Xenopus tropicalis: one gene and its partner. The protein of the gene in region 1 purifies or fractionates together with the protein of each later gene. This does not show direct contact. Links are inferred from orthologs where the notes say so. Each region holds a gene or a part of one and is shown on either strand. Other genes may lie near its edges.

Region 1 (6,644 bases):
CCGAGCAGCTTCTTCAGTTCAACTGACTGGTATGGGAAGTCCTCAGCATATATACTCTTCCACTAATCCAATCACAATGGCACTTTGTAACTCTTCAGAAAGGTGACATCTGAAACTCACAGAGGTGTGAATGCTGTGGAGTTACTTTGAAAGGATTACCAAAGTATCATGCAACTCTTCAAAGCAGGTGTTACTTGTTAGAGTTGCATGAATGGATGTGTGAAGAGTTCTGAAACTGCCGGGGTACAGATGTTAGAACAGCATTGTATGTAGCAGACAGATGGTGTCGAAGTCCCCCGCCTCTGTTTAGGGATGGTTTCTCCACTTTGACATGAATGGCCTCTTTTACACCTCTTTCGAACCAGCGGTCTTCATTGTCCAGAATTTGGACGTTGCTATTTTCAAAGGAGTGTTCCTTGTCTTTTAGGTGTAGAAATACAGCAGAGTCCTGGCCTGTAGTGTTCGCCCTCCTATGCTGAGCCATTAGCTTGGAGAGCAGTTGCTTTGTCTCACCAATGTAAAGGACTGTGCACTCCTCGCTACACTGGACTGCGTATACAACATTGCTTTGTTTTTCCTTTGGTGTTGGATCCTTTGGGTGTACAAGTTTTTGTCTCAGTGTGTTGCCAGGTTTGAAAAACACAGGGATGTGGTGTTTGTTGAAAATTCTCCGGAGTTTCTCCGACACTCCTGCTACATATGGGATGACTATATTGCGCCTTCTCTCTGCCTCAGGACGGGTATTCCTTTTGGTGTTCCTGTTGGGCTTAGTTGCTCTTGTTTTGACAAAGGCCCAGTCTGGGTAGCCACAAGCTTTCAGTGCTCCTCTGAGATGTTTACATTCCTTGTCCTTGGACTCTGTATCAGTTGTTACACTTTCCGCCCTGTGGTGTAGAGTTCTAATGACACCCAGTTTGTGTTCCAGCGGATGGTGAGAATCGAACAACAGATATTGATCCGTATGAGTGGGTTTCCTGTATACGTCTGTTTTCAAGATACCCCCCTCTTGAATGGATATCAAACAGTCCAAAAAAGCAAGTTTGTTCTCATGGACATCCTCCCTTGTGAACTTGATGTTGTCGTCCACTGAGTTAATGTGTTCTGAAAAGGCTGCCACTTCGTTGGATCTGATTTTAACCCACGTGTCATCTACATACCTGAACCAGTGACTTGGTGTAGTTCCATTGAATGTGAGTAGGGCCTTCCTTTCCACTTCCTCCATATACAAGTTTGCTATGCTTCCCATACCAGTCAGTTGAACTGAAGAAGCTGCTCGGATGAGTAGTGAAACGTCTTCAATGATTACTTAACAAGTCCAGTTGCTTTAGATTGATTTATACTAGATATACGTTTAAGTTAGCTATATATTATGTGTTTGAATGTTCTATTTAAAACAACTATTTAATTGTTCTGCATTTTTAACAGTCTTGTAATTATTTACCTACCTTTTCTAGCTCTTACTATATTTCAAATGGAGGTCAGTGACTCCAGTAACCAAAGAACTATTGCCTGGTTAACTACTGCCTAGTTCCTATGGTGATTCGGTCCCTAGCATCCAGATAGCTGCTGAAATTCCAAACTGTAAAGCTTAAAGAAAAAATGCTAAGTAATCCAAAAACTTTTAAAAGCTACAACATATTAAAAGTTCATTTCCAGATAAACTAGCCCTTTAAACAGTTTGAGGAGAGCTGAGCAAGTTGGCTGTAGCTCAGTAATGCGGAGTAAAACTACACAAGAAGATGTGTTTGGGAAGCAGGAGGTTTGCACGCTTGGTGCCACACACCTACATGTTGGGTGATTCTGGGAGATGTACAAAGGTGGAAATTAGAAAAGCGTAAGCAACACTGAGTTGCCCTCACCTCTCCACCAGTAGGTCTGTGACAGGACATGCCATGTTTGATGCCGGGTCAGGTGCTCCCCTCCGGTGCCTATGTGCGCCGCTTCTATCAGCCCCTTCCTGCGCTCAGGTTGTAACACGACTTCCAGCTCGGTGAATCCTTCTTTATCCCTTAGCTTGCGCTGGTAATAAAGAGTGCCCGCCCTCACCACATAACAAGCAGCTGCCTTACGGATCTTCCGCTTAGCGTTCCCCTCTGTGCCCGGGGCATAAGGCTCCCGCTCATTGGTCAGGTATCGCAGTATCGCCAGGTAGCTCTCCTCGTTAGACATCCCTGGTAGGGACTATTTAGATAAATTTACTGAGAAACACCTTCCTCGGCTCAAGCGCGCCCTCCCCCGGCCCACCCGTTGCACTCCGGGTGGGGGCTCCTCAGTCCCGCTGCCTTCTCTATCCCCGTTCAGTGTTTGTATCTAAAATTAACACGAGGAACTGCAAGGCTCGGAACGTCTGATGGACTCCTCGCAGAAAGACAAAATGGCTGCTGCACCAGCGGAAGTGACATATGACCATAAGGAGAGATGTTTGGAATCGGAGCGAAGCAAGAGCTGCCAGTGACAGGAAGTTGCTTTCCTTCAGCATTAAACCGGAAGTTACTGGGTTTTGCCCATTTGTATCTTGTTCGTAGTGAATTTCAAAGCTGCAAATATAAACCGATTAGGTTAGGTGCAAGTGGGAAGGGATCAAATCATTCCTCCGCTTTAAGGCGATTGAACGGTGCAGGTCAGTCGTGGGATAGATATGCAACGTATTTAATTCTAAAGCTCAATAGAAATCTGCTGCTTCTTGGAGATTACACATTTTACTTATCTCTGGAAAATGGTGTACTATAGTAAGGTGGGTTGGGAAGACTGTAGCGCTTCTTCAGTTAGGTTTACGCTAAAGCTTGGATCTATGTACATCTACAGCTGGGCTAACAGACTGTTAGATAACGAAAGGTCCATTACCTTTACAAATCACAAGCTAAAATCCTTATTAAAATTCTTCTCCATCAGTTACTTCCTAGACTGGTTTAAAGCAGAATATATCCAGTCAAATGTTACATAATAAATAAATGAATGATTGTTGGATGAAATTTAGGCAGCAATCCAGTTGCATGTTTATATGAAAACTTTGTGCAGTGTGTATATCTGAATAGTAAAAAATATTACATGATAACACTTGTTCTGTGGGTGATATGATCAATCGATATGTGCCATGTTGTTGGGAGAGTGGACCTTTATTATATAGAAAGAATGGCTAAATAATGTTTTATTCTGTCTATAGTTGGGATATCTCCAGTATATGCAAAATTCTGTGTGGATTGCACAGAGAACAATTTTTAAACCTTATACAGTGAAACCTTAATCATACCCTAGATTTAAGTTTTCCCTCATTTTACACTGTTTTTTGTGGTCCCACCAATATAAAAAACATAATAAGTTTTAATATGAAGCCCTGATTTTTAATTTTCCTGGATTTGACACCATTTTTTTGGTGCTCCTGAAAACCATAAAATTAGGGTTCTGCTGCATTTGGAAAGAATGTTTTCTCTTTAGCATTTTAAGAGAGATGAGAAATAAAATGAAGGATTTTTTTCCCAAGTGAGGTTATGTTGTGGGTGTTTATAAATGTACATGTGCATATTATCATCAAATAAAATGATGCAATTGTTTTGACACTTGTGGGCCATTGTCACAGAAGCATTCACACAACATTTAGTTCACAGAACTGAAAATTCTTTATTGTTTTGCAATCCACAGAAAAATGACAACACAAATTAAAGACAAAGAAGCTTTTCAGAGACTTAATTTTCTATACCAGGTAAAGTAAATAATTTCAGATAACGGGACATGCAGTGCCAGTAGATGGAACTATATAGATAAACAGGACATCAAGCCAGCCTGCATTTTCTGTTTGAAGTAGTTTTTAATTTGTTTTTTTTTTTAAATGTATTAAACATTTTGAGTCATTTTACATTTATTTGTAAATGAAACAATCTATTAGAAATCACCTCCATCTTTCTCCACAGGTCTGTTATGCACAAAACCTGCAAAGTATTCTGTTAATTTGAGTTTTGGCTGGAGCAGTAGTCAAGACCAAAGAAAAGTCAGACAGATACTGTTTTAAATAGCTATTACATTTACAAATAAAACCAGGAAATTTTTAAAATAAATGTTAAGAAGGGGAAACTTAGAAATGTTCAAGGCATTGAGAGGAATAAAGTCTTACCTGGTAGGGTGCTAAACAGTGCTACATTGTTTTAGTGGTACATGTAGTCAGAACCAGCAGTGCAGAGAATAGCATAGCACAGACAAATACTGCTTTAAATTACCATTACAAGCAATGTTTAATGAGAAGGAAATGCATTTTGGCATTTTATAGCCAATAGATTAGTGTTCTAGCTTGCACTATAGTGACTATATTTATTCTGCAGAAAGCTTTACCATAGAAGCTCCCTCTATTTGGATATCAGCTGCTATTTTAGCTTGGTTTGACTTCACTTTCCTAGCTGCACACTGCTCCCGCAACAGCTCTAAGCTTAGATTACAAAACAGACAGAGGAGGGGTAGGAGGAGAAGGGAGGAAGATAGAGGAGCAAACATGTATACAGAATAAAAGGAAATAAATGTGTTTATTTTCACTGAGGATTCAGAGCAGCAGTTCTGTAAGTGCTTATGATAAAGCTTGCTTAGTTTATACCTTTCCTTCTCTGTTAAAATTTAAAAAAATAAGGCAATATGTTATTAAGCTATATTGGAACGATGTTTTCATAATACAAAATTTTATATGTGGTTTTACAGCTACATCGAATGTAAGTTATAAGTATTATAGATAGCATTTTTGCCCTTTAAAAATGAAATTCTATGTACATTTTTTTGTTCATTTCCCAAGGCTGCACATTGCGTTTTGGCTCAAAACCCAGAAAATGTAGAGCTGGCTAGATTTTACTGCCATACTGAAAGAATGATTAGCAAACGATTGGTGTTGAGACAGTAAGTTTCTTTTTTTTTTTTTTTTTTTAATTATATTACACTGGTCTGTGTGCCATACTAGAGGTGCTAAGTACTAAAAAAAAAAAAACACAATTTGCTTGTTTTTTGCCATAAGAAAACAATGGGTTTTTTTCTAATCCTTTTATGTCTGCTGAAAGTTTGTGTACAGTGTACTTTGTACCTGCACTAGGTGTAAATAATGGAAAAATAGAGGCAAAAGATTTGAGCCTGTTGGTAAATGTGCAAGTTGCATCCTCATCTTTATGGGCATAATAGATGCAAAAATTTTCACTATAATGTTATAAATCAGTTTTATGCACCAAATCCAGTACTTTGTTTAGGATTCAGCCACTTAGGGCAGATTTATCAAAGTGTGAAATTAGAGTTGCTTTTTAGATATATATCTTTTTATAGGGACCCATCTGTCAAAAGAACTATTTGTAAAAAATGCAGCTCTCTACTTATATCTGGTGTGACTTCAACAGTGCGACAAAAAAGTAAGTAAAATCTGCTTAGTTACTTATTAATATTGAGTTAACTAACTAGTTCCAAATCATAGTAATAATCATAGCAAATGAATAATAAAAAGATTAGAGCTAGTTACCAACAGTTTTCTTAGATATCACCACATTTCACTAAAGCCATTCTCTGTTAAAGGAACAGTAACACCAAAAAATGAAAGTGTATAAAAGTAACTAAAATATAATGTGCTGCTGCCCTGCACTGGTAAAAGTTGTGTGTTTACTTCATAAAGTCTACTATAATTTATATAAATAAGCTGCTGTGTAGCAATGGGGGCAGCCATTCAAAGGAGAAAAGGCACAGGCACATAGCAGATAACAGATAAAACACTATTGTATTCTACAGAACTTATCTGTTATCTGTTATGTAACCTGTGCCTTTTCTCCTTTTTTCCAGCTTGAATGGCTGCCCCCGTGGCTGCACAGCAGCTTATTATATAAATGATAGTAGTGTTACTGTAGCAAACACACCAGTTTTACCAGTGCAGGGCAACAGGACATTATATTTTTATTACTTTAAAGCTCTTTCATTTTTTGGTGTTACTGTTTCTTTAAGGGCAAATTTAGTAAATAAAATTAAAATCCATTAAAAGCAGAATACCAGTGGAAAGCAGTAAATTTACTTTAGAGTTGCTTTGATGTATGATCCATTGCAATATGCCACTGAAATTCTTTCTATATAGGATAATTGGTACTGAAGTAGCCTTAGGCTCTGCTTACTTTTGCTGGAATTTCTTCATTTAGTTTACCCTTCTCCTTTGCCTACTCACAAAGATAACTCTGTAATTGTCCTTTGTAAGCATTTTCATGTTTTCTGGCATTTCTTATGCACTAGATAACTTAGGAGTGTCCAATCTTTACTGCTGTAGGGGGTTTACATTTAGTAACTGTTGCTGTGTGGTTTTTATATTCAACTGAACAATATTCAATTATCTTTCCACCTTTCACGTGTTCTCCAGCCTGACATAACTGACCATATACCCTCAAGTTCATTGATTTAGGAATCTTCTTTTTTGCTAAACCTTGTAACCCTGAGCCTATCTACTATTTTCCAGTGCTTTGATTTTTGCTACGTCTGATCTGAAAAATGGTATAAGGTGAATTGACTGCCATGGTGGCTGTTGGGAAAGCAGTAAATGAGATTAATCATCTGTCTATGGCTGATCCTGGCTGTCAAGGATCAGTTGGACACAATCACTTCACGACCAGTTCTCGGTTGTCAGAATGCCCAAGGAATACCAAATTTGCCAG
Region 2 (5,970 bases), on another chromosome or scaffold:
GTCCTTAAAAAGGAATCATTGCTATTATGAAAAAAAAACACCAAAACTATAGTGGAAGTTTTTAATTTTAATCCTTTTCTTATAGCTGTTTATATATTTAACAGCTTATTTAGATTTTCTCAACATGACTTTTTCTTACAGCTGCAAAAACACATCACCTCTAAAGGTGCCCGTTATGATCTAAGTGTTGCCAACAAGGCCAAACAATCAGATTGGCTCAAAATGTAGGTGGCCAAATCAGGCAAAGATCCACTCAATTGGCAACCTTGCCAAACAAGCACATCTTAAAGGACAAGGAAAGTCAAAATCTATTAAGCACACTATTAAATAGTACTACTATTGCTGTGTAAAAACGCTATATTTCTGGCTTGCCTAATAAAAGATTTACAGAGATACACATACTAGAAACTACATAGTTGTTTCAGTGAACGGCGCCGCCATCTTGTCCAGCATGTCTGTATGGGCCATTCCACCCCCCCCGCTGAGATCCCCGCACCTACCGGCTCACAAACCCCCAGACCCCACCCCGCTACGATCGCCTCAGCTACCGGCTCACAAACGCCCTCCCCCCGTTCCGATTCCTGCATCTGCCGCCTGCCAGCTCACACAAACCCCCCCTCCCCCCGCTCTGATCCCCGCCCTGCCGTCTGCCGGTGTGCATGCCACAGAATAGCACTTATAGGGGTGTTGCTGAAAAGCACAAAACCAGTCCCCCCCCCTTGCACAGTAATAAACAATGCTTTCGGTCTCCAATAGAGAGGCGCTTAGAATATCATGAAGTCGGGATAACAAGTCCTAAGGACAAAAGTCTAGCTAAAAGATACTACAAGATTTTGGCAAGCTTCATGTCATGCAATTGACAATATGTTGTCTTCATACACAGCTCCAGCCTATGAAACCATTCTAATGTGCTCCATGATATCAGCTGGACATGAGAAAAAGTATCAACGGTGCCACCTTGAAGGCAGAATATAATTTAATTTGCTGTGCATGGCACAGAACAGCACTTATGGGGGTTGAGATTAACTCTTACTAGCCTTTCCTTCTCCTTTAAGATGAATGGCATACTATATCAGCACCCCAGGGAATTCACATTTCCTTGTCCTTTAAGCACGATTAAGAATAAAACTTAATAATGAGGGCAGTCGTATATTTTCCCTATCTACTGCAACAAATTGCCAGAAAAACACATATGTGCTGACATGCACTAATATGTATTTTACAATTACTTAAAAAACAGTAACAGAAAAACTATAAAGATAAGAATAAAATACTTACTGTATCGCAGAGGGTTTTTACCAGAATAAAGGGATGGTTTGCCTTGAAGACCCAGTTCCTCATAGGTGTCTTTGTCTACTGATAAAATTAGCTTTCCTATGGAAATCAAAAATAGAGCTCTTTAACCAATTGGCCTCCTTTAATATCTACCAAGTTGCTATTCCCACTGAAAGAGTGAGCTGCCATAAATTTCCAATTTTCATTTTTTTTCAAACAAGCTGGGTGCATTTACCAACTACAACACCATCCTCAATCCCCTTCTGACCCTGTCAAGCATTTTAGAAGTCCAAATGTGCTCCTCCAGAAGATAAAACACTGCAACTTAAATAAGGATAGCTAAACTATAAAAATGAATATGGGAAAAAATCCTATATTTTAAATACTGTACTTACTGCACCAGCCTTAAGTTTCAGGACCTCACTAGCTAAACTTGTCACAGGAGCTCCCCATCTTGAAAAGTGTCTGTGACACTCACATGCTCAGTGTGCCCTGAGCAACTGTTGAGAAGGTAAGCTTAAGGGTTTGTTGCAAACTACCAAACAGAATATGATGTTTGTCTGTCATATAAGCTGATGCTACAGGGCTGATTATTAAAGTCTGATGCTCCTTGTATCTGTATTAATTACTAATTAGCCTTATATTGTGACATTTATATTCTGTATGTACAGATGTACATATGTAAGCCACTGAGGTCATCTAAAGATGCACAGATCTTCCATGCTAAAGAGCTGTGGTTGTCTTGGGTTGGTATAGAAGCCCAAAATATAATGTACAACATTTTTGCCCTTCTTCTTTAGTTAGGCTTTAGTTCTCATTTAACTCAAGAAAGGGTCTGAGAAAAAAAATCTAAATACCATAACCTGAAAAACTGCATTCCTAAAAGCCAAAACCATCAATTTATTTCACAGATAATTAATACATTTTTTGCTAATGATCTTTGGCCTAAGCTGACTGATATCTTACCAGCGGCCACACACATATGGCTATAATCCCACTGGTCATCAGGCCAGAACAATTATAACTGAAGAAAGCAAACAAGAACTTTGGTTCTTCCTCATTTGCAAATGCACCACATACTTAAAGGACAAGGAAAGTCAAAATCTATTAAGCACACTATTAAATAGTACTACTATTGCTGTGTAAAAACGCTATATTTCTGGCTTGCCTAATGAAAGATTTACAGAGATTCACATACTAGAAACTACATAGTTGTTTCAGTGAACGGTGCCGCCATCTTGTCCAGCACCTGCCGGCTCACAACCCCCCCTCCTTCCTGCTCTGATTGCACTTGGCGGCTCACAACCACCGGCCGCCACCCCCCCTCCAAAAATGCACTTTTATATTGCACCCTGATCTCCCTTCATATTTTTGCCTGCATTTGTCTCCCCCTTCTGCCACAACCTACCACCCCCCCTCCCGCTCCTGTGTCCTCTTCTGGGTCGCCATGGCAACCAGATGTTCTGCTGTGTGCGCATGTGCAAGCTAAGGATCTGGTCGTAGTGTCAGTGCAGGAGCGAGGCATTATGGGAATCTTCTCTACACAGCTCAGCGTTTATTTTTCCTGTTTGGCTTCTGATCTTCTGAACAGGTGAAATATGGGGAGAGAACTGAAGGTATGCCTGCAGCTTGAGATTAACTCTTTACTAGCCTTTCCTTCTCCTTTAACTGCATGGTGCATCAGAGGACTGAAAAATTGGTTAACACAACAGAACATCTATGCCTGTCAAAAAAACTTTCCTATGACCTGTCTGAAATCAGCAGATCCAATCTGTATGGCCAGCTTTTTTAAATAATTCACTTCTGGTGCTGTAACTTATTATTTATCTTGTGCTATTTGTAAGGAAATAAAAATACAAGACATATATACATATATAGACATGTCACACAAATTTTCTCCTGGGGGAATTTCGACAATTAAAAGACGCAGAAACATTACCTGTTGGCAACAGTGCTGCACTATTATCTTGGTCAATCCTTGTTCTATATGTAAGTGCATAGAATGCCCCTGTAAAAAAAACAAATAAGATTTACAAACACTTTTAGATTTCAACAAATTATTTTTGGGTCTGTAATAATGTTTCATTGTGGAAAATGTTTGTACAAATCTTTTCTTTTTGAACATAAGCTATGAGGAGCAATAATTCAGACAAGAGATAGAGCTTAAAGGAGAAGGAAAGGCTAATAAAGAGTTAATCTCAAGCTGCAGGCATACCTTCAGTTCTTCAAATAGTGACCTTAAATCTCCCCATACAGATGATCAGAAGCCAAACAGGAAGAAAAAACACTGAGCTGTGTAAAGAAAGTTCACATAATGCTTCGCTCCTGCACAGACACCCAGACCAAGTGAACATGCTCAGTTAGTTAGACTATGGGGCACATTTACTAATCCACGAACGTCCGAAAAGCGTCCGAATGCGGTTTTTTCGTAATGATCGGTATTTTGCGATTTTTTCGTAAATTGTTGCGACTTTTTCGTAGCCGTTACGACTTTTTCGTAGCGTTGCGACTTGCGCGAATTGTCGCACCGAGTACAAAAGCTTTGGATTCATTCAAGCTTCAGTATCGTGACTTTCCTTGGGCCAGGTTGGAGCTACAGAGTGCCATTGAGTCCTATGGGAGGCTTCCAAAATCATGCAAAGTCTGAAAGGTTTGCCCGCCATTTACGAGCGCTCAATAAGAAAAAGTTGCAACAATATACGAGCAAGTCGTAACGGCTACGAAAAAGTCGCGACAATTCGCGCAAGTCGTAACGGCTACGAAAAAGTTGTAACGGCGACAAAAAAAATCGCAAAAAATACGAAAAAGTCACAAAATGTTAGTTTCCAATCCAAATTTTTCCCATTCGGATTCATGGATTAGTAAATGTGCCCCTATGAGTCAGCTTCCTGACTCTCCTGCAGGAGAGAGGAGACAGCAGAGAGCTGCGTGTCTGTCACATGAAATACAGACACAAGAAATCTTTTCACAGAGAAGTCAGTGCAGCATTTCTGTGAGTGCTTATGGCTGTATTTACATAGACCTTTCTGATAAAGCTCACTTAGTTTTTTACCTTTCCTTCTCCTTTAACTCTGCTGCTCCACTGCTCAACGCAGTCGAACACATTTTGGTTTGATAAATACATTAGTTTGCTGAAAATATTCCTGGTAAGAAAGCTTTGACACATAGTTTTTTGCAATTTGTCTGCAAAAGTAAAAATATTTTGGCTTTAAAGGAGAAGGAAAGGCTAAGCCAAAATGTTAGGCACCCCCAAGTGACTTTATTCGCCTACATTGTACCATGGGCTGGTGCCTGATAGGAGAAAACAGCACCAGCCCGGGGTACCTGTAGTGAGCGCATCCTTCTTCCACAGCGAAATCCCTGGGCCGGCGCATGTGCATTAGAGTGAAAAGCTGCAGGTACGCTGCAGGTACCCCGGGCTGGTGCTATTTTCTCCTAACAGGGGCACCAGCCCGGGGTACAAGGTAAGCGATTAAAGTCACTTGGGGGTGCCTAACATTTTGGCACCCCCAAGTGACTTAGGCTTTCCTTCTCCTTGAAATGAATATTTTATTTAATATATAGTTTTTATAGATTGTATATACAGTGGTGTGAAAAACTATTTTTTTACTGATTTCTTATTCTTTTGCATGTTTGTCACACTTAAATGTTTCTGCTCATCAAAAACCGTTAACTATTAGTCAAAGATAACATAATTGAACACAAAATGCAGTTTTTAAATGAAGGTTTACGTTATTAAGGGAGAAAAAAAACTCCAAATCTACATGGCCCTGTGTGAAAAAGTGATTGCCCCCCTTGTTAAAAAATAACTTAACTGTGGTTTATCACACCTGAGTTCAATTTCTGTAGTCACCCCCAGGCCTGATTACTGCCACACCTGTTTCAATCAAGAAATCACTTAAATAGGAGCTACCTGGCACAGAGAAGTAGACCAAAAGCACCTCAAAAGCTAGACATCATGCCAAGATCCAAAAGAAATTCAGGAATAAATGAGAACAAAAGTAATTGAGATCTATCAGTCTGGTAAAGGTTATAAAGCCATTTCTAAAGCTTTGGGACTCCAGCGAACCACAGTGAGAGCCATTATCCACAAATGGCAAAAACATGGAACAGTGGTGAACCTTCCCAGGAGTGGCCGGCCGACCAAAATTACCCCAAGAGCGCAGAGACAACTCATCCGAGAGGCCACAAAAGACCCCAGGACAAAATCTAAAGAACTGCAGGCCTCACTTGCCTCAATTAAGGTCAGTGTTCACGACTCCACCATAAGAAAGAGACTGGGCAAAAACGGCCTGCATGGCAGATTTCCAAGGTGCAAACCACTTTTAAGCAAAAAGAACATTAAGGCTCGTCTCAATTTTGCTAAAAAACATCTCAATGATTGCCAAGACTTTTGGGAAAATACCTTGTGGACCGGACGAGACAAAAGTTGAACTTTTTGGAAGGTGCGTGTCCCGTTACATCTGGCGTAAAAGTAACACAGCATTTCAGAAAAAGAACATCATACCAAAAGTAAAATATGGTGGCGGTAGTGTGATGGTCTGGGGTTGTTTTGCTGCTTCAGGACCTGGAAGGCTTGCTGTGATAGATGGAACCATGAATTCTACTGTCTACCAAAAAATCCTGAAGGAGAATGTCCGGCCATCTGTTCGTCAACTCAAGCTGAAGCGATCTTGGGTGCTGCAGCAGGACAAT

Evidence for each region. Proteins that work in one complex are often made in the same cells at the same time.
Region 2: the proteins of rpp21 (region 1) and rpp40 purify together in Homo sapiens (co-immunoprecipitation; 3 studies listed by BioGRID and IntAct, counting the BioPlex papers as one, with this or other methods). This does not show direct contact. The link is inferred for Xenopus tropicalis from reciprocal best matches to the Homo sapiens genes RPP21 and RPP40.

What each region holds. Positions count from the first base shown.
Region 1 is NC_030678.2:105,110,612-105,117,255, reverse strand, and holds the start of rpp21 (ribonuclease P protein subunit p21), read left to right. Parts: upstream 1-2,518; 5' UTR 2,519-2,620; exon of another isoform or gene 2,621-2,734; intron 2,735-3,639; 5' UTR 3,640-3,643; coding exon 3,644-3,700; intron 3,701-4,771; coding exon 4,772-4,872; intron 4,873-5,286; coding exon 5,287-5,369; intron 5,370-6,644. Other genes in the region: zbtb11 (zinc finger and BTB domain-containing protein 11), read right to left, coding at 1,860-2,169. UniProt on the Homo sapiens protein: Component of ribonuclease P, a ribonucleoprotein complex that generates mature tRNA molecules by cleaving their 5'-ends.
Region 2 is NC_030682.2:88,076,273-88,082,242, forward strand, and holds part of rpp40 (ribonuclease P protein subunit p40), read right to left. Parts: intron 3,284-5,970; coding exon 3,215-3,283; intron 1,375-3,214; coding exon 1,279-1,374; intron 1-1,278. UniProt on the Homo sapiens protein: Component of ribonuclease P, a ribonucleoprotein complex that generates mature tRNA molecules by cleaving their 5'-ends. Also a component of the MRP ribonuclease complex, which cleaves pre-rRNA sequences.